4 linked regions of the Rhinolophus ferrumequinum genome follow. The protein of the gene in region 2 interacts with the protein of the main gene of each other region in a pairwise test. Links are inferred from orthologs where the notes say so. Each region holds a gene or a part of one and is shown on either strand. Other genes may lie near its edges. The genes, in order: ZNF446, PIN1, THAP7 and ZBTB9.

Region 1 (7,486 bases), on a different chromosome or scaffold from region 2:
TCCAGGCTCCTCCTCCAGCGCTCTTCCTGAGGCTCCATTTTGGTCGCTCATCTGTCCCCTTGGTAACCGCTAAAGTATGTCCCCGCCTGCATACGTTTCAAAGGCAACGGCAGGAGCGTCGCCCTGCCCTCCCGGGAGGCCAGAAGTGACGGCCTGGGTAATATACTATTAATAGTTCGGCAGAAACTCACCTCCGGGTGGTCCCAGGAAGAAGCGGGGTTCACCTGGGAAGGCCGGCCGGATCCATGGGCCTTCTCCAGGGAGGATGCTGGAGTCCTTCATTCGATCTCCGCTGAGGGCCCTGCCCCTAGTGGGCACCCATTTACTGATGAGAAAACTGTCCCATGATTTATACCTAGTCTGACATATCTTCAGATATCAGTATTGTACTGCAAAGTGAAGGATGGAAGTTTTTGTCCAGGCTTTTGGGACATGCTGAACCTTTTACTTAATTGGGTAGCCAGAACCAGTAAGGTGACCTTTTAGTTTATCTCAACAGGCAATGTTATCAAAATCTGACTGGGACTGGGCCAGTTTTGCTTCCATACATCAGGTGGAAGCAAAGGTGGCTGAACTGTGACTTGTATATTCAATCATAAATTGCAACTGTTTGTCATGGTTCTTTCTGATACCTAGGAATCCCTGACTGCCAGCTTGCCAAGAGCAAGCCAGCTTGCCATGATTGGAAGCTCTCAGCCTAGGGCCTGTCAAGTCTTCCCAGGAGTGTGTCATGGGATTGGGCTGTTTTGTGGGGGCTTAGGTCTTTTCTCTGGACTGTGTGGGTTCCCCAGAAATGACTCTCCCACCATCCACCATGTAGATAGAGCTGAAGCTCTTACAGCTTTCTCCAGTATTCTCCCACCCGTCATATTTTAGGTCTCCCCTCCCGGGAGGTGGCTGATTTTCAAGCTTTCTGAAGTTCTGCAGCATAAGGCTGGTGGTACTTCCGTCTACTTCGTCCAGTAGCAACTCATTATCTGAATTGCCATAAGTCAGTAACAGCTCTTGCATCCCCACCTGGGTTCAAAATACCATTGTAACTGCCTCCTCTTTCACCATTCTCCTCATCAACCCACAGGATGTGTTTTAAACTCTGGTTTCAGTGGGCTTCTGAACCAAGTGAGAAGCATGTATTCAGTTCACCATCTTGACCCAGAAAGCCCAGGGACACTTACACTCACAGCTTGTTCAGGGTTAAGAACAGCCAGTCTGGCAGTACAGGGCCCAACATACCACAGAGGTTTGGGGGAAAGTAACTTAGGGGGAAGTTGGGTGCTCAAGACATGGGTGAAGGAAGGTGCTTATGGTTGCTGTTCCCACAGGAACAGGGTGGAGGCCACTGACCAGTCCTGGATATTGGGAGGGGTGGATTGGTGGAAGAACAGAGAACCAGGGCCTTACCCAAGAGGAGCTCAAGGAAAACAGGAGGCGGCTGGTCAGTAGACAGGAAAGGGCATCAGGCCCAGCATGAGTGGTCTGGAGGGCTCAGGGTGGAAACTGGGCTCCCATGTGTGTCCCAAGTGCAGAAAAGGTTGCATGTGATTCTGGGTACCCACTTGCAGTTTGACAGATGTTTTTGTTCCTGAATCCTATGGGTCCCCAGAAAAGTCCTCAGCAGGGTGAGGGTGTCTGCATTACACAGCTGTGCAGACTGAGGTGGATGTGACATGTTCAAGGCTGCCCCATGGAAGACAGCCTGCGGAAAGGTGAGGGTGTCGACCAGAGCAGAGCAGAGAGGATGAGTCCAGGAAGGGCGGACTATGGCTCAAGGGCCCACAGGGTACCAGGAGGCCTGGCTCGGAGGACCTGCCCTTGAAGGGTCTTGGGGAGCTGGGTCCTGCATGACTCCTCTCCATACCTCCAAGTCTGCCCTCCTTGTAGGAACTTGTGAGGTTCCTGGGGAAGATAGGTCCTGCTGGAAGGTGGGGGAGTAGGGAGATCATGTCTGTGCTCACTCTGTATGGCAGATGGCTGTGAGGTCTTGGTTGTGATGGCCCCTGACTCAGATTCCACAGCTTGAATCCACAAAGGCCCAACTCCTACTAGACCTACCCAGGTCTCCTGCGGCCCCTCACCCACCTCTGGCTGCCAAGGGGACACAGGTATCCCAACCCCTCAGGGCCACAGACAGGCTGCATCTCTTCCCTGTGGCTTCTCAAAGGGACCCAGGTTGAAGCCAAGTCCCCACAGCTCTGTGACAATGATATGCCCTGAGGGCACGTCTGCACTGTGCTAGGGTGAAATCAGGCTGTTACCATTCACACGTTTTTAAAAAGAAACCTTTATCAGGGAGCCTCTCTGGACTCGGGTGGGAAGGGAGGCTGAAGCTGTGGAATTCCACAGCGCTGTGCAAGAATTTACAATATATGCCCGTTCCAAGTTGTAACTTCGTCTTTTTTTTCCCAGTAAAAAGACCATTAACTTCCCTAGACATGAGGCCAAAGTCAAAATGGGCCTCAGTCTGCTAAGGGCCACAGGAAGTAAACTGGGCACCCACGCACCTGTCTACCTCAGTGTTCCCGCTGTGTGGAGGTGTCACACTGAGCGGGGATCTCAGGAGGGCACCTCATATGGGCAGAGAACAGGTAGGCATGTGGCCCCTGGGCCCTGCAGAAATGAGCAGCCCTATCTTGTGTCCTCTGAACCTGTCACTTCAGTCACCTCCTGTCAGGACAGTGGGGTGTAAAGGCTCCTATCAAGTTGACTTTGGTAATAGGACATGGAAATGCTGAGGCTTGGATGAGAATTGGAACGACTGTGGTTAGGGAGCCATCATTCTCCATCTGTCTTTCCCCTGCGGACCTCCACCTCCTATGGGTCAGCCATGCTCAGGGAGCCAGGCCAGGCCTCACTCAGCCCTCACAGCGAGCTGATTAGAGCGTAGGTGTGCAGTGGTAAGTTGTCTGGATGCCAGGCCTGGCTGTACTGTGTGCAATTCACACCCCTTCTCTGTGCCTCTGTGCCTCAGTTTCCTCCTACGAGAAGTGGGGATACCAGCCACAGCAGCCACCTCACAGGGGCTGGCACTTGGCACATGTTGGCCTTATCAAGAGCCTGTCTGTCAGGGTATGGCAAATACCCTCTGTAGGATGAAATCCCTTTTTTCTCTTTCTTTCCCCCAGAGGAGGAAGCTGAGGCTCAGAGCCCAGCCATTTACCCAGGGCCAGCACCCAACCCCCCACATGACCTCTCGTCCACTGGGCCAGCTCCCAGGAAGCCTTGGATGAATCCAGACCTGGGGGTAATATCCTGAATGTGTAAAAAATTTCTCGGCCTGCCTCCACTCCATCCCGGCACTGCCCTCCTCTTAGTGTTCAGTCACGACATGAGAGCAGTGGCGCCGCCCTGCTGTCCTGCCACTGGCTCTGCAATGTTTCAGCCTCACCAAAGTCCCAGCCTCCATCTCCCTCCTCCTGACCTTTCCGCAGCCTGACCTCTTGGGGATGGAGTCAGCTGTGGCTGAAGTGGCAAATCCTGTCACCACATACAGATGGAATTGCAGAGTGCGCACAGAGCTTCTCCAGAGTGTGGATTTTCAAAGGACACGGCCCGTTAGCTGTGGAAAGGACTCAGGAGAGATCGGAAACAGGGGAGCTGGGACCTCAGGCCTCAGCTGGCTTCGGCACGGTGGCTGGGCCTGAGCTGGAAGTGGGCCTGGCTTCCCTCCCAGGCGTGCCAGCTGAGGGTGCCTCCGGAGGCTTGGCCTGGGAGCTCAGGCCGGCCGTGGCCCTGAGCCTCCGCATGGGTTTCTCGCCCGTGTGGATCCTCTGGTGGTGGAAGAGAGCCGGGCGCTCGCGGAAGGCGCGGCCGCACTGTGCGCACACGAACGGCTTCTCACCTGTGTGGATGCGCCGGTGGCTGAGCAGCACGGCACCCTTGGCGAAGGCCTTGCCGCAGTCCCCGCAGCGGAAGGGCCGCTCTCCCGTGTGCAACAGCTGATGCTGCGTGAGGTTGGAGCTGTGGCTGAAGGCGCGGCCGCACTGCGCGCAAGTGAAGGGCTTCTCGCCCGTGTGCACGCGCTGGTGCTTAAAGAGTGAGGAGCCCTGGCTGAAGGCGGCCCCACAGAGCGCGCAGGCATACGGCTTCTCGCCTGTGTGCGTGCGCTCGTGCTGAATCAGGTGCGAGTTGCGGCAGAAGCGGCGGCCGCACCGCGCGCAGGCATAGGGCCGCCCGCCCGCATGGATCTTGCGGTGCTGGCTGAGGTTGGAGCCGTGGCTGAAGGCCTTGCCACACTCGCCGCAACGGAAGGCCTTCTCAGCCGTGTGGATGCGCTGGTGTCTCACAAGCGAAGAGCTGTGCCGGAAGGCCTTGCCGCAGGCCGTGCACGCGTAGGGCGTCTCACCGCTGTGGATGCGCTGGTGCTGCGTCAGGTGCGATGTCTGGCTGAAGGCCTTGCCGCACTGCCCGCACTCGTAGGGCCGCTCCCCGGTGTGCGTGCGCAAGTGCTTGAGCAGGTCGGAGCTCTTCACGAAGACTTTGTTGCACGCCCTGCACTCGAAGGTCTTCTCTCCTGGGAGGAGGCCGGGGCCGGTGTGGAGGGCCTCGCCCAGCTCATCCCAGGTCGGGGGCTCCTGGCCGGCGGGGAGTCTCTGAGGCTCGTGCCACACCACCCGCACTCCTCGACCCCCCCGAGAGTGACTGGCTTCGAGAACAGGGTCGCTCGGGAAGGTTCTCCCCGGGGCCTCCCGCGGGGACGGCTTCTGCCGCTCGGGCGCCCTGGGCTGCTTGCCTGGCTCCAGGTGGTCTGTGCGGGCTTTCTCCGTGATTGGGCTGCCCGTGGTAGCTCTCAGCGGGGAAGTCAGCCGCAGACTGACACTGGCCTCACCACTGCCAGGGCCTAGGAGGAGCCTTTCCCAATAGATCACGGAGACCCCCGTGGGTTTTCTCTCCCGGGATGAGGAGGTGGCCCGCCGACTCCCCAGGCATTTCCCACGCACACTGACAGCAGTGGTGGGAGGGACCCTGGTGTTCTGGAAGGTTCTTGGCCACACTGCTTCTCCAGAAACATCTCTGTCCTCTGCCAGATGCTGGGAACCTGAAGGCACAGAAACAGTGGATGCCTGGGGGTCATCCTCACCAGGAGAGGGTGACCAGGGCAGACCGCGTGGGTGGGCAAGGGGACCCTAAGGTCTGGGTGTGGAAGCTGGGGAGAAGAGGAGCCAGAGACCTTTCCTGTATGTAGCTCACTTGTCTGAGGGATACCCCAGCCTCCTTTTGTTCCTTACACTGATGGCTCCCCGATGCGATAGTTTTACTCACAAACTGTTCACTGACTGCCTCTCCCCTAGCGCGGTCAACCCCTCGAAGGCAGGACCAGGAGCGTCCTGATCAAGGCTGTGCCCCCAGTGCCGGAAACAGGAATGGTATGAACACATGAATGAATCAAGGAATGGCGTCGCAGATGAGGTGGTGAGGTAGGACAGGGAGGCTTTGACGCCACACACCCTGGCTTATGGTGGGATTCTGAGAGGTCTCAGCACGGCCTGGGGGGTGCTCTTGGAGCTTCCCCTGAGGAAAGCCAAGGCTGGAGCCTTCAGGAGAGGCTGATGGTGGAAGGAGAACAGAAGGAAATCGGGTGGAAGGCAGGAGAGGAGCATGTCCAGGAGGGTGGGGAGAGGGGACAGAAGCTTGGCCATAGGTTGACCCACTCACCAGGGCTGGGCCTCCTCTGGTTGTTCCTAGCCAGGGTCACATCTGTCCCACTGAGGACCCAGGGTTCCTCACCACGCTCAAGCTGGATGACTACACGGGGTCGGGAGGCAGAGAGTCCTGTGAGAGACAACCAAGTGAGGGGCCAGCCGCAGCTCAAAACAACCAACTGCCCAACAGATGGTCGGAGTCAGGGCTTCATGGGACACAGACAGTGTCATCTGTGCAACCAAGAAAACCCACAGGTTGCACCATAAGTCAGGACTCATAAGAACAACTCAGTGGTGCCTGTGAGGAGGAATGTGTTGGCAGTGCCCAAGGAAGGGTACTGAGCCCAGGCACAGTACAGTCTGGTGCCACAGCCAGACAGGGACACTCAGCCACTGGGTATGGAGCTGTTCACAGGCCGCCAGGAGGTAAGGGGTTAGTGCTGCTGGACCAACCTGGCAACAACTGAGCTTTCCCATGGAGGACCCAGGGCCTTACCCAGAGAGGCCACGAGTGCAAAGTTCTCCAGCATCACGTGGTGGTACAAGGCCCTCTGGGCAGCATCCAAGAGCCCCCACTCTTCCCGGGAGAAGTACACGGCCACATCTTCAAAGACCATCAGGCCCTATAACAGTGGGCAGGGGAAGATGGACATAATCTAAGCTACGGCCAAGTGACCCAGGACCGAAATTCCTGTCCCAATGATACCTCCCTGATGTCCCTCAGACGTTCACCTTCCATCCCCAGGGCTCTGCAGATGCAACTTCCCTCACTTATCTGAGCCTTAGATGCCCCTGCTGAATATGCCTGACCTTTTAAGGCTGCTGCCCCAGCCTGAAGGACTGGCTGATTCCCACCAGTCTCCACAGTGGTGGCCCCAACGATCGCGTGGGCACACAGGAGCCAGTTCCCTCCATTTCCTCCTCCCTGGGCTGCCACCTTCCCTTACTTCAGCCACCTGCCAGACTTCCCAAGTGCCCCAGGGACTGCCAGCATCTCTTGATCTCCCTAGAGCACTAACTGCCCATCCCTTGCTGAGTCCGTGAAATCCCCTCCTACTTTTGATTCCCAGGTCCTGCCTCGGCTCAGGATACTAGGACTCTGTCTTTGGATATCTACAATTCCAGGTCCACCTGAAGCCTCCACTCTAGGACATGGCAGACTCTTCCTTATTTTCCCCTGAAACCTGCTTTCCCTTTAAACTTATTATTTTGTCTACAGCAGCTCCATCCTTCTGGTGTTCAGACTAAAAAACTTGACGGTCATTCACTCATACCCCGCATCTGATGATCAGCAGATCTATCCAGAATTCAACCACTTTCCTGTCTCCACTGAACTAATATGGTCCACGTGCTTCCTCCCTGCACACCACCCGCCTCCTCTGCGCCTCTTCTCCACTCGGCAAACGGTGGGATACTTTAAAAATCCTAATTTAAAGCATGTCCTCCTTCAGGTCAAAATCTTACATGGCTTCCTGAGCTCTCGGGATAGTCTCAACTCCTCCGCTTGACTTTCAGACATACCTATCTTCTCGCCCGAGCTCCACGTTGAGAAGCTCAGTTGCGGAAGCACCTAGGCTGTCACCCCTCCCAACTTCTGTTACGTGCGGGATCCTTCCTTTGGAACTTCCACACCTCACCCCCTTCGCTGCCAGTAGTGGGGAATTCCACACGTGAATGCCCCAGTGGCATGGACACCGGGGCCTAAAGCGAATCAAGAGACAAGACGTCCAGGTGAAGTCCCTCCCTCAGTCGGGTCTTAGGTCCATGGAGGTGTGGTCCCGGCGGGTGAGGGGTCCGAGGTTCTACTAACCTGTGCCGCTGCAGACATCGAAACCTGCAGTTGAGGC
Region 2 (7,344 bases):
GTCTATGGCTGTTATATTACAAAGCAGAATTGACAGAGACTGTATGGCCCACAAAATCTAAAATATTTACCATCTGGCCTTTTAAGAAAAAGGTTACCAACTGCTGCTCTAGACTGTGGAGAAAACACAAAACAAAGCAAGGAACAGCCCCCTGTCTTGGGGCAGAATTAACTTATAACTGCTGGCTAGTTCTGTGCTGCTACTTTTCCAACCTCCCTCCCCCTCCCCCTTCTTCCAGACCCACCCACACATGTGCCACAGAAACCTGCTTGATGATATTATCATCAATAGCTCCGACTGACTGAGGGCCCACTGTGCTTCATGCACTGTCTCATCCCACTGAATTTTCACAACAGCCCTCAGAGGTGCCCATTTTATAGACAATATATGACGCTGCCCATTTTATAACAAAAACTGAGTCTCATGGAGGTGACTTGAATCCCCAAGGTCATGGAGGTTACAGGGCAACATAGCTACCCTCTTAACCTGGGTCTGCCAGGCTCCAAGGCTGGGTCCTACCGTCCCTAGTGGGAAGAGGTGGCCATCTGGGCCAGGCTCATGTCACATATAGGCATTTCTGTGTTGGCCAACGCCACACCTGACAGCTGAGCAAGTGGGATGGAGGGTCTGGTGTGATTTGTACAAGGCCCACTCTGGCCCCTGGAGGGGGAGAGGTACCAACCGCCCTGCCCCCCAGAGCCCATCTCCAGCCCTGCTCACTGTTGATCAGCTCCAGGGCCTCCTCCTTGGTCCGGGTAATCTTCTCCTGCCTCCAGGACGAAGGCCTCCGTGACTGGCTGTGCTTGACCAGCAGGTGTGAGCAGCGAACCCTCGTAGGTTCCCCCTGTCCATTTTTGCCACCGCCACTGCTGTTGCCACTTGGACGCTCCCACTGGCTGGCGTTAGTGATGTGATTGAAGTAGTACACCCGGCCTGAAGGGAGAGGAGGCAGGAATTCAGCTGGGACCTGCTCATAGGCCAGGATAAGGAACTGGTCTATGAGATGCCATCATTCAGCAAATCCACTGTGTCCACCACGTGCCACAAGCCCTTAGGGAGCTAACATTCTAGGTGCCGGCAAATGAGACAACAGGATAACTTCAGTCACTGATAACTTTGAATAACCCAGGGTGACAGTAGAGAGGAAGCCAGGGTGGGGGAGACGGAGTGGTTCAAAGCATGCACTCAGCAGCCAGACTGCCTGTTCAAATCTGCCTCTGCTACTTACTCACTGTATGATCTACCTTCCCCAGGCCTCGGTTTTCTCACCTGTAAAACGGACACAACAGCGCCTGCTTGTTGGGCCATTGTAAGGACTAAATGAGTTCTTATCTGTAAAGTGCTCAGGATAGCTCCTGGCACACATTAAGAGTGTGATAGCTATGATTATATTCCTTTTATAGATGACAAAACTAGGTATGTTTCCTGAGTGTTCAGTGGGCTCCAGGCACAACTGCGCCCAGGCGTGTCAGACACCAAAGCTCAGCTCTCTTCCCCTACAGCGTACTGTGCTGCACCAAGGGGCCAGCATTACTGGGGGCCAGACGTTAGGCAGGGACTGAGCAGCATGGAGCGAACACGGCACACAAGAAGCCTGAAGAGGGACCTAGGAGAGACGGGGTATCATTCCACAAAACCAGTTTGCCTGGGTTACATGGAGGACTTGTGCCCAGCACCGTGAAGGGTTGAATGTCACCCCTGAGGAGGGCTGTCAGGGTTGAGCAGAGCAGGAATGGCAGGAGTTGGGGCCCAGAGTTGGACAGTGCATCAGTTTTATGCTGCAGGCCATAGCCACAGGCCAGGGCTGAGGCAGGGTGGGAGAGAGCGGAACCCACGACGGCCTCTAAAACCTTGGCAGTGGGCTCTAGTTCTCCCAACCTCAGTGTTCTCAGCTGAAAAGTGGCAGTGAAGTGAGACAATCAGACTTTATGGGGTTGGTGCAAGTGGAGAGAAAATGATGATGTATGCAAAGTGCTCACCAGAGTGCCTGGCGTTCAATAAACCAGAATTATTACTGCGACTTTGACTGCTATGGGCAATGGAGGCAGTGGAATGAGAGCGGGGCCTGCTTCTCAGCAGTTTGCAGTGACAAGGGCAGGGGCCTCTGGAGACAAACTGGGTTCTAACCTCACACTCAGCCCCCACCCCCTGAAATGAATGACCTTGGGCGAGTTCCTTAAGTTTTCTGGCGTCAGTTTCCTCACCTGCAAGATAGGGGTAATGACTACCAACCTCCAGGAGATGTGGCCATTCAGTGACAGAAAACACTTAAAACGCCCGGCATAATGCTCGACGCTGATAAAAGTGCCCTGGTGTTGCCATTACTGTACATGTGCCTTAAATCGGGCCCCAGCACGGGGGCCGTCCTCGGGCAGAATTTCACCATAGGCTCAGCATTAGGTGTGGATGGCACGCGTGTTAGCAGTAGGTTGGGGATGTGAGGCCGGGCAACTCTAGGGCCACGCCCTGAGCATGGGTTTAGAGGGTCTCCTCCCCCAGGGGTGCCCCCGGGCCCAGCGGGGTGCACAGACGTTTCCCCGCGACGTCAGGTGCATTAGGCCGAAAAGTGTCAGCCCGGTCGGCAGGACCAAGACCATCCCTCGGAGGAGTGCCGTAGGATCACCGGCCCCTTCCCCCCGTTTCCCCCACAGGGCCCTAGGCTTTCCCGGTCCCATCCCCGCCTTAGTTTCCTTCGGTTTCCTGGCTCCTGAGGCTCAAAGCCTCCACAGGGCGGGCCGGGGCCGTTACCCTAGACGATTCGGAGGAGCCAAGATCCCATGGAAATCGGACAACTACACCGCGCCCAAGAGGCGAGCTCGAGCCCTGCTTCCACAGGCCCGCGCGGCCCCGCCCCAGCCCCGACCCCCGCTGCACCTGAGCTGCGGCTCATGCGCTTCTCCCAGCCGGGCGGTAGCTTCTCCTCATCCGCCATCTTCCCTCCTGCCGCAGCGCCCGCTCCGCCTCCGCCGCACCGCCTCTGCCGCCCGCCCACCGCCGCCACCGATTGGCTAGGCCTGCCTTGCACCAGGGCCTGGAGACGACGCTCACTGGGCACTCCAACTGTCCGGACTGGACTTCTGGCTTTCTATTGCACAGAAGCGACAGTGGGCGGATCCTCCCCACATTTACCTGGGTCCCGGTCCCCCCCTAGTCGGCCTCACCCGACCCCGCCCCCTTCCTCTCCTGGTCCTGTAAGTGGTGGGGAAGGGATATACTCCCGCCTTCTCAAAGCCCTTTGGCGAGCTTCAAAGAAGTCCCAACTCCTCCTTTGCGTCCTTCGCCACAGAGCCCATCCGATTGGCTACTGCAGCAGCAATTCTCGCCTTCCTCAGCCGTTTCCGGAGGGCCGCAGCCCCCTATACGGAAGTGTCTGGCTGGTGTGGAGGTAACGGTAGCTGACGAGGTACTTGGGAGAAGAGATGCTGGCTTTGCTGTTGCCACAGCAACGCAGTTGCCTTGGTGATGAGCAGCTAAGCACCAGAAGCCTAAATTTGGCTCTTCCATCCTCCCTCTTCCCATCTCTTTCCTCCAGATGTCCCAAGCTAACCCATCCCCTTTTATTTTTTTTGTGCAAGTCTAACCCTTTCCCTCTACCAATGACCCAAACACCTTCTACTTTCTTTGGAACCTACTTACATCACTTATTCCCTCCAAAGCTGTCTCTTGCCTCTATCCTGGTGACTGGTGGGTGATGGCATTGCCACTCAGAGAGGGACACAGAAGGGGGCAAGCGTGGGAGGATGAGTTCAGTTTGATTCTATTTAAAATGGAGTCTGTGGCACCCATGGGGCACTGAGGAGGTGGTGGGGGACCCAGGGCTGGAGATAGCTATGGAAGTCAAAGATTACCAACAGGGAAGAGTTCAATTACAGTTCATCTATAGCACTGACCCTCATATGACTTAGAAAGAATGAGGCGCAGTGACATAAAACACAGGGAAACATGTTCACGAGAAAGTAGAGACAGGATGCGGTAGAAGGCTAAGAGCACTCAGGAGACGGATTACTTGTTTGAAGCCTGGCTCTACCATTTACCATGACCTTGAACAAATTACTTAACCTCTGCTGTTCAGCTTTACCATCTGCAAAATGAGGATAAGAAATGAAATATATTTCATATATACCTTTGATGTAAAGATCAAATGAGTTAATTTATATAAAGCACTCAAACAGTGCCTGGCCTATACATAGCAAGAATGTGTTTGCTGGGCAAAAAAAAGCAAATCATAGTACAGCATAGCAATTGATAGTACATAGAAAAGCATAACAAAAACCAACAAATAAAATTGCTTTAAAAGAATGACATCGTTTATAGAAAGATATCAAAGATAAAAAGCAAGCTGCTGAACAGTATCAGTATGTAGAGTATGTATTATTAATTGAAAAGTGTAAAAACTATAGGTTTATATCATAGAGAATTTCTGGATTCATTCAAATACGATAATGGCTGCCACGTGATGCAGGTGAAGAAATGAGCAACTTAGATTTTAATATGATTTTCATTTTTTTTTACAAGCACATGTTAGCATAATCCTTTTTGAAAAATATGTTAGACTTAGTATAGAATATAGTTTCATATGCCCTTCACCCAGACTTCCCTTATATTAGCATTGTACATAGTAAAGGAACATGTTCTCAACCAGGGGTGGTTTCGTTCCCCAGGGAACATTTGGTAATGTCTTCAGACATTTTTGGTTGTCACAAGTCGGGGGAGAGAAATGCTACTGGCATGTAATGGGTAAAGGCCAAGGATGCTGTTAAACATCCTATAATGCACAGCCGCCACAACAAAGAATTATCCAGCCCCAAATGCCAACAGTGCCAAAGCTGAGAAACTCTGCCATAGAGTAATTATCAAAACTAAGAAATCAACTTTGGTATAATACTATTAACTAGACTTGCATCCACATTGTCATGTCTCCTTCGTCTCCTCCAGTATGTGACAGTTTTTAGGTTTTTCCTTGTCTTGCACGATCTTGATACTTTTGAAGAGTAGAACTGGCCTTCATTCTGATGTTTTGTCATGGTGGGGTTTGTCAGTATTTTCTCATGATTCGATTGAAGTTATTGGGAAGGGTACCCCAGAGTCGTCGTGCCCTTCTCAGTGCATCATACCAGGTGATCGACGGTGTTGCAGTGTATTCCTGGTTACATTAGGGTATCTATTGCTGCATAACAGATTACCCCACAATTTAGGGGAGTAACATTTTATTTTCTGTTTCTATGTGTCAGGAATCCAGGCAGTTTAGCTGGTGTCAGCAGGGGTAGCCGTGGTCTAATCTGAAGGTTTGACTGGGGCAGGATCTATTTCCAGGCTTGCTCATGTGGCTGCTGGCAGGATTCAGTTGCTAACAAGATGTACTGAGGACCACAGTTCCTCACTGGCTATTGGCTGGCGGCCTCTCCAAAACATGGCAGCTGGCTTTCATCAATGAGCAAGTGAGCAAGCAAGACAGAATCCAGTCTCTTTGCAACCTTATCTCCGAAGTGATAGTGCACCACTTTTGCCATGTCCTATTTCTTAGAAGCGAGGTCTAGCCTATACTCAAGAGGAAGGGATTACACAAGGGTGTGAATACCAGAATGGGGGGATCGTTAGGGGCCATCTTACAGGCTGCCTGCCACACTTGGCAATATTAACTTTGATCACTTGGTCTAGGCAGTTTCTAAAGTTACTATTGTAATGAATAAATACTTTTGAGGAGATACTTTGAGAGTGTGCAAATATCCTACTTCTGCTTAAACTTTTACCCACCGAGTTTAGCATTTATCAGTGCATCTTGCCTACAGCAATTATTACTATGGTATGCCAATGGTGGATGATTTCTTATTTCCTCTAATCGTCTACGTTTATTAATTGAAATCCTTTTGTAATGACGAGTTGCCCCTTCTCCATTTATTTATATATTCAGTTATTTATTGATATGATCATGGGCTCAAGGGTATTTATTCTTTGGGTTATAGTCCAATACTATCGTTATTTTGTTGCTCAAGTTGTTCCAAATTTGGTTACTGGGAGCTCTTTCATAGGCTGGCTTCTGTGCTCTTTCCATGTTTCCATCCTTTTAATTGAGCACTTCCTACTTCCTGACACCACAAGATGCTCCACGCTTAGCTTGTATTTTCCCTGCCCTGGCTCTTGAACCAATCACTTTTCCAAGAAGCCCTAGTTCCTTTTATTGGAGAATGTTATTTAAGAACCAGATATTAGCATAGACATCTTTTAAAAACCAAATTGAAGTTTATAAAAATACATTAGAAAAGGTCTGACCTCAGCAGAGAGAATCGGGTGAGGAAAGGGGTTTTACTTTTAGCATGTACTTTTCTAGGCTGATTTGAAATTAATAAGGGATTACCTTGTCAAGTCCCTCGTGTAGTTAAAAAAAAAATTGTTGGGTTTGTTTTTCTAACAGACAGTAAGGGGCGAGATTGAGCTGTAAATGCAGTAAGGGCCAGGGTACCAGGAAACAGACATGTCTGACATGTCAGGAGGAAGTGGAGTCCTAGGGACAGGAGGGAAGCCAACAGATAGGTAGGGAGGTGAGTAATGGGAGACCAAAGAGAGACCATTCTCAATGGGCTACAGGCCAGCAGCCCCCAGACAGCTGGCAGGTGCAGCTGCCAAGAAGCTTGGTGGTAGTAAGAAACAAATAAACAACAAAAAAAAGCTTGGTAGTGAAGGGAAGGCAGAAGGCTGGGGGGACTTTGGGGGAAGGGAAGGGTCAGTGGACTACACTCGACTGTGTTTGTGAACCGAGGACAGGGCAGGTCAATACAAGAGAGGGGAGAAGGGATGGAGCCAGGTTGTGGGTGAAGCTCTTGAGAACGGCTCCAGAATGCCGCTCTGGGAAAGGACAGGGCCAAGGTCAACCCCAGGGTCTGTGGCTAGGGGAACAGAGATGGAGTGTTTGGCGTCGTCTGCTCACACATGGGAGAAGGCTGGAGACACCTAATAGCACTATTTATCAGACATCGTGTTATTTTAACTGCATTATCTCACTGAGATGTAAGCCATCATGGTATCCCTTTCTCGAGGGGAACACTCTGGATCAGAGAGGCTGACTTCCCCAAATCCCACTACTACGTAAGATCAGTCAAATTTCAGCCTATGCCACAGTCTTGCTCTGTCCACTAGGATTTCATAAGCGCCAGGAACTGTAGATGTTTAACCATGTTTTATCTCATCTATACTTCACGACAGGACAATAAAGTAAACACTATCAGTTGCAGTTTGGAAAAAGAAATGAAGGCTGAGGGAGGGTAAGTAACTTGCCCAGGGTCGCTGTTGGTATCAGAGCTGGGATTCCACCCAGTCTGTCTGAATCCAGAACCTGTATTCCTAACT
Region 3 (7,608 bases), on a different chromosome or scaffold from region 2:
TGGGCCCTCACTACTTGCCGAGCCAAGCAGCCCCAGGCAGTCAGAAATTGTCCTTGTCCTTGTTTTCAAATAAGACGGGCCCCGTGGTGGGTGGTGGGCCTGTAAGCCGGGACTCAGGCTGGGCAGACTGGGCCTATGAGGGAAGTCTGTTGTGTCCCCGCAAAGGAACTGAGTCTGGCCTGGGTTTTAGGAGTGTTTTCAAAGAGGATCAGCTTGCTGAAGTCAAGGCTGTTTCAGATGCCACGGCAAGGGGTGCCTAGTGCTGCCTGCAGCCTCTACTCACAATCCTGGTCCTCAGAGAACCCCATGGGGCACGGAGCTGGGCTTTCTGCTCTCCACAGCCAAGAGCTTAAACTCCAGGGTTTGAGCCCTCTGCAGTCTGCAGCCACTGTTTGGGGGAACAAGCCTGGGATCCAGGAGGGGCCCCAGCCCCCAGATGAATCATACAGGGCCTCCTTCAGGAATCCACTTTATTATGGCATCTGGTGGGTCTGACGGATGCAGCTTAGATCAGGTCCCTGTCCAGGTGGATTCTGAAGGAGGAAGAGGTTGGAGCCCTGACAGGCAGTTCCTCAACCCTGGGTCCAGTGGCCCCTCACTCAGGCCATGCTGCTGCTTAGCTGCATGGCAAAGTCCTGCACATGCTCCTTCAGAGTCTGGCGGGCATCTGCCTGTGCCCGCTTCTCACGTGCCCTTTCCTGCTGCAGCTTGGTCAGCCGCAGCCGCAGCCGCTGCTCCCGCCGCTTGCAGGCCTGCAGCTGGCGCTGGGCCTTGTCCAGGGCGTCGAGTGCGGCCTCCGCCCGCCGCTTCCAGAGCAGCGCACTGCCCACCTGGTAGCTGTGCTCATTCTGGATGTAGGCTCCAGCAGGTGGTGGGAGGCGCAGCATATAGGCTGAGGGTGAGACAGGCCGTGGTTCAAGAGGGGATGGCTGCCGCTCTGGCTCCCGCTCCGGTGAGGGCTGGGCACTGCAGCCTGCTTCATCCGCTTGGGCACCCAGAGGCCCCAGGAGGTCTGAGAAGGGGCTGCTGAGGCCAGGCTCCAGCCTCCCAGTGGGGGAGGCAGGCAAAGCAGCAGGTGCCGAGGCCTCTTCCACAGGAAAGCAGGAGACGTCAGCAGGTGGAGGTGGAGAAAAAGGAGTTGTGGGCCCTTGACTGTCAGAGCAGCTGTGGAGAGACTGACAGGTCAGGCTAAAAGCTTGCCAGACCATAATTCACCAGCCCCCTTGAACCCGCCCCACAGACTCAGGACCCTGTTCAGCATGGCTGCTGGTAGATACCCTAAAGCCCTGTCCCTCAGACTTGGGGTGGGAGTGGGGTACCCCCCACCCAGAGCACATACCGCTTCCTGCATCGCCGGAGCCGGCTGACGTCAGGGGAGCCAGGTGGGTAACTATGCCCCTTGGTCTTGGTTGTCCGGCGCAACTTGGAGAAAGACTCAAATATCGTGGGAACTGCCCCCTCCTTCAGCCTGTGATACCCACTGTGGGGGAAAGCAGCCTGGATGAGATGGAGAACAAGCGCCGCCACCCGCAGCTGACCTGCAGGGGCGCAGAGCCTGCATGCCCTCCAGCACCGCAGAGCAGGCTCCCCAGTGCTAGCCAGCACGGCGAGAGGTAGGAACGCATATTGAAAACAATTAGTTTGGGCAATGCCAAATTAGGCAGAGTTCCACCAATCTCTTCCCTGCAGAACTCCTCCAAGTTACGGTGCATGGAAAGGCGCCAACAGAACGGGGCTGACCAGCCAAAAAGAATGATTTCATTTGGGGATGTGGTGGGAGGATGGGGGTTCTAAGGCAAACCCTCTGGAAGAGCTCAATGTTTTTCTTTGTGTCACTGGCACAGTCATCCTGAAGGGGTGGGTCTTACTGTTCTCATCTGTCAGAAGGGGAAACTGAGGTACAGAGATGGGAAGAGGCAGTCACCCTTGAAACCAGGTCTGGCCTTGTGCCAGCTGCTATAGGGACCTCATCATCGGGCCCTACAGATGCCCCAGTGCTGGCTGGCAAGGAGGCTCACCTGATTCCCACCAGCTCAAAGCAGTTCTCCTCGAAGTGTTTGGAACAGAAGTAGATGTACTCAGATGCTGGGTCCCATAGGCCCTGGCCGCTGGGGTCCAGCCTCTGGCAGTTGGCCAGCCACAAGCCTCGCCTTGGGTTGTCCTTTTTGGGAAGTCTGTGGAGCCACAAACCCGTGAGTCCCAGGCTGCCTGCAGCCCTGGCATCATGCTGCATAAGCTCCACAGGTGGGAAGAGCTGGCCTTGCACATGCTGCAAGAGACCTCCCTTCAACTGTCAGGTAAGCACCGCCCATCCGGGCACAGACGAGGAAACTGAGGTCTCAAAAAGGGGAACAACGTGGTCAGCGTCATCTAGCAGGTTAAGAGTCGCAAAAAATAAGTCCCAAGGATGGTGGACCTCCCTTTCATCCTTTCCCGTCTGGACTCAGTCCCACCTGGACCGCCCCCTTCACTCTCTCCCACCCACAAGTTCAAGCCTCGCCCCCAACCAAAGAGCATGCGCAATGGTGACTTCATGAGGCGGGCAAAACAGGCGCATGCGCATGTGAATCTTCGCGTGCAAGACGCACGCGCGCTGACCTGTGGAAGGAGATGCCGCTGTTGCGCGTCTCGCGCGTATCCCGTGTGCAGCAGCCGGCGGCGGAGCAATGACGCGGCATCTGGGGAAGAGGCGGGAGCTTGGTCACGGGCGACTGTTCGGACTCAGAGGGGCCTCGCGCCCCCAGCCGCCGCTCCGATTCGGGCGGCCTTGGCCTGGCAGGTCTGCCCCCCGGCCCGATCTCGCCTGAGCCCCGACCCAACCCGTACTCCTGACTCCCCTCAGCGGCACTCACGGTCTTGCCATTGCTGAGCCGCCGTAGTCTCGCGAGATATAGCGAGCGGCGGAAGTTGCTACCATAGAGACTCGAAATCGCGGGCGCTCGACCGAGGGGCGGGGCGGGCCCCGGAAGTGGCGGAAGCGTGGCGTCGCCGCGGGACCCGTTTAGTCCTAGGGTCCCTGGACGCCTGCGCCGTGGCAACGTTGGCCCCTCTGTCCTTTCGGGTCTAACTTTTGACCGTCAACGCCCGGGCACCCAATGAGCGGCTCCACTCGGCAGCACAGGGCCCGGGGTACGGGTCTGCGCGACGCGGCGGCGGTAAAACGACAATGCCTCGGTACCCGCGCAAGCCGCCCAGGGAGGCCCCGATTGCAAGAAACGTACTCCAACAGCAAGAAAGAGACCGGGACGCGTGATCAAAAGAACCTAAAAAATACCAGTGCTCACGACTAATTTCAGGAGAGGTGCCTGTAATGAGAAGAGTGGGCGGTGGCCATTGATTACGTTTTGGGAAAATGTGATGGGCAGGGAAGTTTCTGTGTAGCGACTTCCGTTAGGGACGCTGACAGGGAAAACTAAGGGGCTTTCCTGGAATCGGAGGTCAGGAAATAGATTTGTGCTGGGCAGGGCGGCCTCCCTGGCCCCTCCCAAGACAGGGTGAAAACAGCCACTCCACTGCTTAGAAGAAAACCAGGTTACTATTCCATCCTTCAAAGAACATCAGGCATGAAGGATTTAAGAATGTTTACATTTAAAATAATCGAAGCATCTTTCTTCCTAATTCCCTGAGCCGTGCCTTTTGAAGCCTTTCTGGGAGAAATACAGTAACTAAACATAAAGACAATAATTTTTTCGGTCTGAGAGGAAACATGTTTTTCCCCTAGAAAATCCACTTGGAAAAAGGCAGGTATTTGAATGGGGAATTTTGTCAAAGTGAAGCACAAGGGACAGACAATACCTCAATACAGAAACTTTAATAGTTTGTATACATGTCTTGTAACGTTACAGTGGGGGATGGGAAACAGGGATGGTTGCCAGCTGTACTCTCCCATTCAGTATTCTTCCCCTTCTTCAGCCTCTGCTTCCACAGAATCCACACCAACCTCTTCATAATCTTTCTCCAGAGCTGCCAGGTCTTCCCGGGCTTCAGAGAACTCCCCTTCCTCCATGCCCTCCCCCACGTACCAGTGCACAAAGGCTCGCTTTGCGTACATGAGATCGAACTTATGGTCGAGGCGGGCCCAGGCCTCGGCGATGGCAGTGGTGTTGCTCAGCATGCACACGGCCCGCTGCACCTTGGCCAGGTCTCCCCCAGGGACGACAGTGGGGGGCTGGTAGTTGATGCCCACCTGCCAGAGGAGGGAATAGAGTGAAGTTTATATTGTGGCCTCAGAAATGGTAGCTTGTTTTTCAAAACTGGAGCTGTGGACACAGTTTAAATGACACCCTATAGAAACTGGTCCAGTATTTTCTGGCAATATCAACATTTAATATCCTTTGACTGTACACTTTCACTTTTTGGATTTACCCACACAAGAGCACAAAGCTGCATGTGTAAAGATTTTTATGTACTATTTAGTTTAAAGCACTGCTTGTAATGGCAAAACTGGAACAAATGTCCATCATGGGGAACTAAATATACGCCCATACAGTGAAACACTATGTACGAGCATAAAAAAGAGTGAAAAATCTGTCCTGGTATATCAACATGTCCAAGGTATAAGGTATACTTGGTAAAAAGAATAGCAAGTTGAATTCTATGTATTTATGCTTAGCAATGTGTATAGAGTAACAGGCTACTGCCTTGGACAGCGAGGGGAACATCGTGCTGGAGGAAGACAAATGCCTGGGAGTGTGAGGCAGGCACCGATCTCTGTCCTGTGAGCAGATAGCAGGCAGCAGCAGCCAGACACACAGCCAGTCTCCAGAAGAGTTGGGAGGGGCACGGAGGATACGGGGCTCTGACCCCGATCAAGGGGTGCCCTTCCGCAGCTCTAATGCCAGGCCAGACAGCCTCTCAAAGTGGGAGTGCTGCCAGCTTCCTGTTCTCTTTGGCCACCTGTGTGCAGTGAGTCAAATCTATCACCTACGTGTAAAGATTGTGCGTCCTTTGCCCATGTTGCTGGTCTCTTTCTGTCAACATCACCCACATAACGAGGCATCATATACCTCGAATATGCACAGAGTATCTCTTGAAAGACAAACCTCTGGGGAAGGGGAAGAGAATTTAGTGTTTTTCAGCCTTCTGCATTGTTTTAATATTTTGCCATGTATATGCATTTTTATAAAAAAACTAAAAATTATTAAACATAAAAGATTCCTTGAAAAGAGTGTATCCCTGAGCAAATGGTTGTTAAAGAATATATGGTGAAATTACACTAAGACTGACAAAAAAAAACAACCCAAAAAACTAGCATGAGAATTCAACATGGTTATCTGAGGCTGGACTGTCTTCTTTGGGGACAGTCAGTACAAGCTTTGACTTCCTGTGCCTCCCCACACAGACCAGCCTCCCCACTGGGTGACAGGAGGCAGAGACTCAGCTATGATAGGAAATCTGGGCACAGGGCACAGCACTTCCCAGCTGAGGCTTTCTTGGATGTGCTTACCTTCCAGAGGTCACAGTGACTAAAGAAAATTTCCTCCATGCAAGTCAAGAACGTGGTAATTACACACATGGAGTGGAAGGTTTCAGCTCCTACCTCTAACCTCTAAGGTCTGCAAGATTTAATGAATATTTCCAGATTGATGAAACCTGTTGTTTTACCCTTTTCTGTGAGTCACTTTAAATCTGTCAGTTTTATGTCCTCAGAGATGATCTGCGTCATGGTTTCTTAGAGTGGGTCTGACAGAGGGCTAGATAGCTTCAACAACTTGTGTGTGGTCAGAGGCAAGCTACTGCCATTCCAAATGGGAACAAGATGACACATATTTCTACTACTTGTCATATTCAATCTGGCATGACCCTGGAACTTGTAACTCCACAAACACCTTAGGACTCCTCAGGGCTTACAAATATGAGGTCTACAGCTTTGTCTAACACAGGAAACCAACTGTGAACGAGGACTTGTAACAAAGAAGAGGGCACAAAATTAACGAACGCAGGCATGATGAAGCACTTAGCCTGATAATCACAACAGGTCTAACGCCTGACATTCTGTTATTTGGCTTCCAAGTACATGTTGGAATCCATTTACAGTAACGCGCCAATTTCAAATGTCCACATGAATTACCAAAATGCCCAGAAAATTTCTACATTTCTATTAGAAGACTAAATTTCTATTTTAGGAAAATTCATAGTATAAGAAAAAAGTATCTTATTTCTAAGGCCAACCTACATTTTCTGAGTAATACTACCACTCCAAAAGGGGGCCAAAGATCCTTCGGAAACTTTCCTATTCTGTTAAAAAAAATTCTCCCACCACAGATAAATAATGTGATGACTCAGGAAGGAATTCAAGACACCACTGAATAAATTATCACTCTGGTACACTCATTTATGACCAAGAGCCTAGCTGCCATGTATTCTCCACAAGGACAGCATCCTGTCGCAGGGTCTGCTACATGCTGAACGATAAAACCACTCGACAGCACCCAGTCCTACCTTAAATCCCGTCGGGCACCAGTCCACAAACTGGATGGTGCGCTTGGTCTTGATGGTGGCAATTGCCGCGTTGACGTCTTTCGGGACCACATCTCCCCTGTACAACATGCAGCAGGCCATGTACTTGCCGTGGCGAGGGTCACACTTGACCATCTGATTGGCCGGCTCGAAGCAGGCATTGGTGATCTCGGCCACGGACAGCTGCTCGTGGTAGGCCTTCTCGGCCGAGATGACGGGCGCGTAAGTGGCCAGGGGGAAGTGGATGCGGGGGTATGGGACCAGGTTGGTCTGGAACTCCGTCAGGTCCACGTTCAGGGCCCCATCGAAGCGCAGGGAGGCCGTGATGGAGGACACGATCTGCCCAATCAGACGATTGAGGTTGGTGTACGTGGGACGCTCGATGTCCAGGTTGCGCCGACATATGTCATAGATGGCTTCGTTGTCCACCATGAAGGCACAGTCGGAATGTTCCAGGGTCGTGTGGGTGGTCAGGATGGAGTTGTAGGGCTCCACCACGGCCGTGGATACCTGGGGGGCTGGGTAGATGGCAAATTCGAGCTTGGACTTCTTGCCGTAGTCCACTGAGAGCCGCTCCATGAGCAGAGACGCAAACCCAGAGCCGGTGCCGCCCCCGAAGCTGTGGAAGATGAGGAAGCCCTGCAGCCCCGTGCACAGATCCGCCTGAGAGAAAGCAGAGACCATGAGCAACGCCAGCAGAAGCGACCCCACCAAGCCGCTGTCACTTTTCTTTGCCTCCACAGGAGGATACGAATTCAAATCGTCCCCAGTGAACATGCACTGCACTTTGAGGGGAGGCAAAGCAGACACTAGAGATGTATGCGTATGGATGCATGGAGCCCCACGGGACAGGAAGACCATGGAGTCGTCATTCTGGCCTGGGTTTTGCCAACATGACCTCCTGGTCCCACTCCAAGGCCTCCCTCCCATTCCAGGCTAATGCCGTCAGGAAGCCTTCCCAGTGCTCTTACCAGTTTGCGGATGCGGTCCAGGACCAGGTCGACGATCTCCTTGCCGATGGTATAATGGCCTCTGGCATAATTATTGGCTGCGTCTTCCTTCCCCGTGATCAGCTGCTCCGGGTGGAAGAGCTGCCTGTAGGTTCCTGTGCGCACTTCATCTACAAGAGGACACGTGTGCCATGGATCT
Region 4 (7,768 bases), on a different chromosome or scaffold from region 2:
CAGGCTGAGGGGGGAATGCTCTCTGTTACAGGGGTTCCCAGGGGTGACACATGGAGCGCTCAACTTTAAAGTGTTCAACTACAACATAAACATAAAGGTGTTGGGAAGGTGTCTACTGGTGAGAAAGCAAGTTACACCCTGAGGGACTTCTGGAAAGACATAAGGAAAGTACATATTCAGAATTCTGGGGCCAGCCCGGTGGCTCAGGCGGTTAGAGCTCCATGCTCCTAACTCCGAAGGCTGCCCGCTGGATTCCCACATGGGCCAGCGGGCTCTCAACCACAAGGTTGCCAGTTCGATTCCTCGAGTCCCACAAAGGATGGTGGGCAGCGCCCCCTGCAACTAAGATTGAACACGGCACCTTGAGCTGAGCTGCCTCCCGAATGGCTCAGTTGGTTGGAGCGCGGGCTCTCAACCACAAGGTTGCCGGTTCGACTCCCGCAAGGGATGGTGGGCTGTGCCCCCTGCAACTAGCAACGGCAACTGGACCTGGAGCTGAGCTGCGCCCTCCACAACTAAGACCAAAAGGACAACTTGACTTGGAAAAAAGTCCTGGAAGTACACACTGTTCCCCAATAAAGTCCTGTTAGAAAAAAAAAAAGAATTTTGTTCACATTTCCCCTATGATGAGGGAAAGGAAACTTAGAGCTTAGCCTCTGAATTACTAAAGCTCTGAATCAAACATACCCCTAGGTGGAGACCAGCCCCTTTTACTCCTCATGGAGACTGAATGAAACATTTATCATTTTGTCTTCTTGTTCTAACTTTTCTCTCTTCAGATAAACTTCTAATGTGCAATCTGGTTTCCTGTATGAAAAGCAGGTCTATTGTGGGCAAGTGACCAATTTACATATGGCCTGTAAACCACTTGGCTAAGGGTGATTAGTCAAAACCTGGAGTGGGATGAAAAATCTGAGTTTCCAAATCTGCCAGGTTGAGGCCCACACCCAAGAACAAGAGTCCATAATGTATCTCTCCTTTTGGCATGATTACAAGATCCAGGACTGGGGTGTCACGGTAGTGAGGGGTAAGCGTCATCAGCAGCAGTAGCTCTCGTCCTGGAAGTTAGTGTATGGCCTCAGTGGTCACTTGTAAGTCCAGTGAGCAGTGGCCCAGCCCTGGCCCTTGCATAGGTCCTGGTGGCGAAGGAAACAGGCATGGACTCGGAACCGACGACCACAGTGGGGACAGGCATGCAGGGCTCCAGCATGGGTCTTCATATGCTCCGTCAGGTGGTGCTTCAGCTTGAAGCGCTTGTTGCAGATGCCACAGCCAAAGGGCCGAAGGCTGAAGGTCAGCATGATGTGCCGGTCACGCTTTGGCTTCACTGCAAACCGCTTCCCACACAAGCAACCAAAGCGTTTTCCATCTTCAGGGGGTGCCCCACCTAGCTTCACAGGCCCATGCACAGCCTGCCCTGCACCCCCAGGTCCCCCACCGCCTGACAGGATCTCATTCCCATGAAGATCCACGGGTTTCCAGGATGGACCCCCTTCCCCAGATGCTGCCCCTGCTCCTGAGGGAAGCAAGAACCCCAGCTCTCTAGTCCCTTCAGCGTCCCCTCCAGGAACCACTTTGGTCTCCTCCTTTACTCCTCCAGACTGAGTCCCACCTCCTGATATCTCCTCCTTAGGCTCAAAAGGTTCCTGCTTAACGTAGAAGATTTTGGGGTGCAGTGTGGTTAGAGGGGCAGGAGGTTCAGCTGGTGCACTCCCATCCTCCGGAAGCCTACAGGGAACGGTGGACATGGGCAGTGGGTGGGATCCATGAGTGCGGGGAATCCATGATACTCTCGGAGGCTGAGGAGTCTGAGAGAGTGTTGCTGACCCCTGGTCTTCATCATCTTCTTCCTCCTCCTCTTCCTCCTCTTCCTCAACCTGAATCTGTAGCACCTCTCCCAGTTCACTCCCCTCCCCTCCAAAGGGGCTCTCGGTAGAAGCAGAAGACTGCACTGGAGTCTGGAAAGAGGAAGAGTGAATGCACCAACCTCCCGTAGAGGACGTGGTGGAAAGAAGTGTGTGACAAGGGGTCGCTCCACGGGCTGACATTCCACCACCTGAGGTGTCTAATTCTCTCAGGATCTCTGAGCACTGATCTACTACTTGCCACATCTGGAGGCCACTGGCCACAAGGAGGTGGGCAGGGAGCGCATCCAGCGGCAGGCGGAGGCGCCCTGAATAAATGAGCTGGAGCAGCCCCTCGAAGGCATCAGCTTCAATGATGCTGGGCAGAGTGAGCCGTGGCGCGTCCCCCAGAAGAAGTTTGTCATGGAAGTAAGGAGAGGCAGCAGCCAGCACTGCTTTGTGAGCCCTAAGCTCCCGGCCCTGCACCAGGAGCGACACATCACAGAACTTTCCCTCTAGCCTGTGACGGTTCAGGGCTTCCAGCAGCAACGAGCTATGTTGAGGGAAGTCTATCTGGATGGTCCGTGGCGCTGGGTTGCAGATCGGGGACGGGGGGACCGGAGGCAAAGGCGTCGAGGTATCCATGGCCTCCTAGGAAGGAGAGATGTCTCAGGATCGAGAGCAAATGAGGGGCGTGGAAGACCCCACGCGGGATGAAAGCTGCGGTGGAAAGAGACGGGGGTCACATCGGATAAAGGGACCATATCACCTCAGATACCACCCGCCTCCCCACCCCCCATTTTCAGTGATGGTTGCTGCAGATCAGGCCCGCGCACATCCCCACCAACAAAACAAAAACAACCAAGCACCAACCAGGGGTTTCACTTCCAGCGCGTGCGGAACAAGATGAGGAGGACCTTCAGCCACGAGCCTGACCGACCCCCGGCCCTGGGCGGCTCCTGCCGCCGCTCCGTTTCCCCTACGGTGCCCACAGGGCGCGGCTCCCGGGAAGACGCGGCTCCGGGAGACCCCGAGCGCCGGCCGCGCCGTCCTCGTCCTTCCCGCCGCCACGCCCCCGCCGGTACACGCGCCGCGCGGCCGGAGAGCGTCTAAACCACCACCGCGCCGCCGGCCGGAAGCCACCTCCTCCCGGCGCTCGCCGACGCCGGATGCGGAGGGCGGGCTACGAACAGCCAATCGGAGGCCGACGGGCCTCGTGTTGATTGGTTGCGCGGGCGAGAAGCGGTGCTCGTCTCACGGCGGCCGCCGTTGCGGGAGGCCCGGGGGTCGGGCCTGGGAAGCGTTGAGCGGTAGGAGGGGAGACTAGTGAGCCGCCTTGGTGATAAAATGTACTGCGGGTGCCCAGCCAGGTGCCGAGAGGGCGAGATTAAGTGGGCACCTGCTGTGTGGGCTGGGCACTGGCCACATCTCCCTGGGTCCTACCCCTGCCCTGCGAGGTAGGTGTTGCCCTCCTGTTTTCTTGGGGGAGGGGAGGAGGGTGTCATGCAGGGTGGCATGCGGGGTCTCTGGCCCCGCTCCCCACATAAGAACGCAGGACATGATGAGGCCAAAAAGGAACACCCATGGAGCCCTAGATAGGGGAGTCATACCACTATAGTCTCACTGGCGGATGGGTTGGAGACACAGGTAGCAGAAGCCACACGCAACCCGCCATCCACTTCTCTCTCTGCCAACCAACCTCACTTGCTAACTGCAATCCGCCGTGCTAACTGCAATCAGCTCTCACCAGCTCAGCCACCATCTTGCTAGCCCCCATTTTCTGCTAGCATAGCCACAGCAGTTATATTAGTGGCCAATGGCTCACTGGTTACAGCTGATGGCCATCCGATCACAGTTGATGGCCATTTACTACCTGAGCCAGCACCCTTCCTCGTGAGGCCGAGAGCCTGGAAACTGCACTCTGGACTCTGTCCCCACAGGGAGAAAACCGAGGCTGGCAACTGGTGGCTCTGGCGTTGAAACCCAGTTTGCCAAGGAACCACGTTCTTTCCTCCATTCTGCACGGGAGCATTTCAACCAGCAATTAAACCTTATTTCTAGGTAATTTTTTCCCCAAAAAGATATATGTAGATATATACTTGGAATCTTTTATCAGATTCCTTGGCTTTACTCCTTGGGCTTAAGTGGGGCAGAGGTGAGGGGAGAGCTAGACTGGGTGTTCGGCCAGTGCAAAACCCTGTTACAAAACAGACAGCAGGTCCAAAATGGAGTCACCTGTGCCAAGCCCATGTCTGCAAACTAAGAATCAATACTTAACCTAATTGCAGTTTTACCCTGTCCCTCGAATGTAACCTTTAGGTCAGGGGGTGTCCAACTTTTTTCAGCGTTTTTCACCAAGGGCCGTATGCGGTAAAATACACACACAGCCGGGCCACTCACTCGAGGTGAAGTACGTATTGCCTCACCTGGTTTATTTAAGTAAACTAAATATATGTTTGGAATTTGCTGCAGGCCAATTAACAATGGATTGCAAGCCGCAGTTGGCCCGTGGGCCGCAGTTTGGACACCCCTGCTTTAGGTAGTCAACCTGGAATTACCTGCAGCTCTATAGTGAGGACCCCTTCTGTGCCCCTTAGGAGGGGGACCTTGCCTGCGACAATGCGTTCTTTGCTAATTCTGTTTTCCACCCCTTTCCACCTTTAAAAACCTTTCCTTTTCTGTAGCTGGGCTGAGATCCTTCCTATTCGCTAGACGGGATGCTGCCCAATTCATGAATCAGTGAATAAAGCCAATTAGATCTTTAAATTTACTCAGTCGAGTTTTGTTTTTTAACACCCCTGCTCTAAAACAGTAAATCTCACTGGATGGGAGAGTGGTATTCTAGGAGCACACTATGGCATCATGCAGGGGTAGTTTCTCCTAGGCTGTAAGCCCCCTCCCAAAAAAGCAGATCCGATCACTGTGCTGGTCCTGGAGGCCCCAGCCTAGGAAAATCAGCGTAGTGATAAAAGAACAATCTCCGTTTATTAAACATGATTTTTCTGTTTCACCACACACTCCAGAAAAAAAGGAAATGGGGCTGGGAGTGGAGAAAAAGGGACAGTGGTGGGGTAGAGAAGGCTGGGAGTGGGGCTGGGTGGGGAGGGAGAACGAGAAAACAAAATAAAACAGGTAGGAAGAGCATCTCCCTACCCTTAGGGTGGTGGGTGGGGAGGGTAGCATGGGGGGAGGGGGCCAGGAAGCTCTGTACAGAGGGGTTGCCCCCAGCCCACACACACACACCCCGGATATGTACAGTACAAACCCCAGATAATTACAACAGCCAAAGAAGAGAGGAGGAGGAGAGGGGGTCCAGGGTTGGGTCTGAAGTTGGGAAAGCAAGGAAAGGGCACAGGGATAAAATTTCACATATTTACAACTTTTATATAAGTATAAATTTGGCCCCGGCTGGGTGTACGTGTATAGGGGAAGGGGACTGAAGGGGAACTGTCCATACAAAAGAAAGAAGGATGGAGTCTGCGAAGTCTCAATACCAAACGCAAGAAGGGATGAGGGGGCAAGGCTGGGGAGGGGACAGCAGTCAGGGAAGAGGGGGTGTCAAGGAGGGGTTTCTCCCCTCCCATGACCTACCCACCCCAAGCCCCATCCATCCTACCTCCCCTATCCCGCCAGAGAGCTATGTACAGAGAAACACCGAAAAAATTGTGGAGCTGGCGGGAAGGAGGGAGGTGGAGGGAGATTGGGGTGGGGGGAGGATGAAAGGGTGGCCCAGCCCTGTCCTACCTCCCCCTGGGGGACAGAGTCATGGAAGGGGCCCCCCAACACCCCTCCTCCAACACAGGTCCCCCCACCCTGGGGGAGAGAGACATGGCTTTTCCTAGAGTAAGTTCCCTCCTCCCCCTGGGAGTAGAGACCAAGAAGGGGGGGGCAGGGGGCTGCGTGTGCCAGGGTAGGGCAGACCAGCTAGTCTGTCCTCCCCAACACACACCCCCCCCAAACCCTAACCCCTCACCCTAACCTCAATTCCACCCCACCCAACATACTGGGGGAGGGGAGGGCATAAGCCCCCTCACCCCGCTCTGGGACCAGCCAAGAGCAGATCAGGTGTGGGAAGAAGGGGACACAATTCCCCTTCCTCCCTTGCCGCCCCCTCCCTGCCCCGGTGGCCCCTCCACCCCATCTGGGTTCTGGGTGGGGAGGGAGTAAATTTAAGAGTGGTAGGAGGAGAAGGAGTTTGTGCGTGCTGAGCCCCCCCAGACGCTCCTGAGAAATCAAGGGGTAATAGGGCCCCCTCACCTGGGGTCCCCTCCCCATAACAAGGGGGACAGGGGAGGCCAAAATGGGGCGGTGGAGGGGAGTTAGATTGTCAGCTCTGGTTACTGCTAAAAAATCACCCTGAAGTTGAAAGTTTGGAGGTGCCACACCCCCAGGGTGGGGGCTAGGGTCTGTCCCCCAGTGCTCAGGGGAACGATGAGGCAGAGGATGGGGATAGCACCCCGGAGTGAAGGGGTCTGTGTGGGGTAGGTGGTGTCCTGGGGCAAGGGTCCTTGGTGGGTTACAGGGGGCAGCACCCCAACAGGAAAGAAAAAGGGGCAGCTAAGGGTCCCCACTCTCCCTCCTGGAAATGGTGCAGTGAAGGGGGGAGACTGGTGCCCCCCAAGGAGGCCTTCAGGGAGCAACCCCGCTGTCCCTCGGCGAAGTCCAGTCCTGTTGGTTGGTGCTGTTCAGGTGGGGTGCATGGTCAGGAAGAAGGTGTGTGATGCTGGGTGGCTAGTGGTCCGCGGTGTTTCGGAACTCGCCGTTCTCGGTGATCTGCAGCCGGGGTGGGGGGGGCGGGGCTGGGGGGGCCAGGCCGTTCCAAGGTGGGGCCAGCGTCACACGCGGGTTTGTTGGACCCAAGGGGGGAAGCTGCCTCTCCTGCAAGACACCAAAGAGGAGAGCGCGGACTTATTGAGACGCTTCGAGGGGGCCTGGGTGCCAGCCCTCTCTAGTGGCCTCCCCCTTAGCCAGCCCGCTCCAGATGCCAGGTCCCACCCCTTCCCTCAGGACAACCCCAACCTCCCTCCTATTTTGTTTCTCACCTGCAGTAGAAGTTACATCTTCTGGGCTCAGGGAGAAGAGAATCTTACCCCCCGTCTCCTAACAAGGGCCTTCAACCCAGGGAAGCACACCAGGAAACCAGTTCACACCAGGAAACCTCCCCGCCCCCAGCCACCTAACCCTGTATCTTCCCCTGCCGGCCCAGCCTCCAGCCTCCTCCTCCTCGCGGAGCCCCCTCCCGGCCCACCCCCAGTCCGAGGTGGGAACTTTGTGTTGAGGGAACAAAGGGGAGGCAGTACAGCAAAACCTCATTAATCCAAACCCCCATGGATTTGGAATTTTTTCATAATTTGAACAAAAACTGGGCTTGAGTTTTCCTTTATCTATGAAGAAAGGGTGTGCTAAGCAAATTAATGATGGAAATGTGTCTGTAGGAGGAATATTTAACCTATACTAGAAAACAGACTTTTCAATTCTATCTATTCATTAACGCATGCTCCCTGAGGGCCTCGAGTGGAAAAGCCTTATTCAGTGAGGTTTACTTACTGTATATATTTTGAAGACATGCATTTCATTAAATAGACAGTCATTCAGTTTTGTCACTTATTCAGAGTGGCCATCTTCTCAAATATAACATTCCAAATTAGAGAGGTTTAACTGTACTGGGGGGAAAGGAAGGGGATTCAGGGAAGTGACGTGGGAAGGTACAAATACTGTGGGAGGGCTGCCTCTCTCTCACGCTAACCAGAACCACTGGGAGCTTCTGCAGAGACTCAGCAGGCCTCAATCTCTACATCCCCAGGAAGCAAAAGTGCTTCATTCCTCCACCCCCACACTCCTTTCAATCCCTCTCCCTGGGCTCCCACTTAAAGGGTGAGGGGTACCAGACCCTACTCCCACCCCTGGTCCTATTGTATCACCCC

What was found.
Region 1: the proteins of PIN1 (region 2) and ZNF446 interact in binary tests that used the Homo sapiens proteins (3 or more experiments, as listed by UniProt). The two-hybrid records come from large-scale screens. The link is inferred for Rhinolophus ferrumequinum from reciprocal best matches to the Homo sapiens genes PIN1 and ZNF446.
Region 3: the proteins of PIN1 (region 2) and THAP7 interact in binary tests that used the Homo sapiens proteins (3 or more experiments, as listed by UniProt). The two-hybrid records come from large-scale screens. The link is inferred for Rhinolophus ferrumequinum from reciprocal best matches to the Homo sapiens genes PIN1 and THAP7.
Region 4: the proteins of PIN1 (region 2) and ZBTB9 interact in binary tests that used the Homo sapiens proteins (3 or more experiments, as listed by UniProt). The two-hybrid records come from large-scale screens. The link is inferred for Rhinolophus ferrumequinum from reciprocal best matches to the Homo sapiens genes PIN1 and ZBTB9.

The regions. Positions count from the first base shown.
Region 1 is NC_046298.1:50,934,394-50,941,879, reverse strand, and holds the start of ZNF446 (zinc finger protein 446), read right to left. Parts: upstream 3,018-7,486; 5' UTR 39-3,017; coding exon 1-38. Other genes in the region: zinc finger protein 324A, read right to left, coding at 3,603-5,035, 5,653-5,769, 6,136-6,262, 7,450-7,467. UniProt on the Homo sapiens protein: May be involved in transcriptional regulation.
Region 2 is NC_046301.1:40,249,501-40,256,844, forward strand, and holds the start of PIN1 (peptidyl-prolyl cis-trans isomerase NIMA-interacting 1), read right to left. Parts: upstream 3,018-7,344; 5' UTR 2,933-3,017; coding exon 2,875-2,932; intron 934-2,874; coding exon 721-933; intron 1-720. UniProt on the Homo sapiens protein: Peptidyl-prolyl cis/trans isomerase (PPIase) that binds to and isomerizes specific phosphorylated Ser/Thr-Pro (pSer/Thr-Pro) motifs.
Region 3 is NC_046308.1:23,399,084-23,406,691, forward strand, and holds the start of THAP7 (THAP domain-containing protein 7), read right to left. Parts: upstream 3,012-7,608; 5' UTR 2,853-3,011; intron 2,679-2,852; coding exon 2,599-2,678; intron 2,270-2,598; exon of another isoform or gene 2,234-2,269; coding exon of another isoform or gene 2,175-2,233; coding exon 2,019-2,174; intron 1,481-2,018; coding exon 1,340-1,480; intron 1,176-1,339; coding exon of another isoform or gene 1,165-1,175; coding exon 600-1,164; 3' UTR 1-599. Other genes in the region: tubulin alpha-3 chain, read right to left, coding at 3,890-4,186, 6,442-7,122, 7,431-7,579. UniProt on the Homo sapiens protein: Chromatin-associated, histone tail-binding protein that represses transcription via recruitment of HDAC3 and nuclear hormone receptor corepressors.
Region 4 is NC_046286.1:3,763,330-3,771,097, reverse strand, and holds ZBTB9 (zinc finger and BTB domain-containing protein 9), read right to left. Parts: upstream 2,979-7,768; 5' UTR 2,718-2,978; intron 2,565-2,717; 5' UTR 2,490-2,564; coding exon 1,086-2,489; 3' UTR 504-1,085; downstream 1-503. Other genes in the region: SYNGAP1 (ras/Rap GTPase-activating protein SynGAP), read right to left, coding at 6,576-6,722. UniProt on the Homo sapiens protein: May be involved in transcriptional regulation.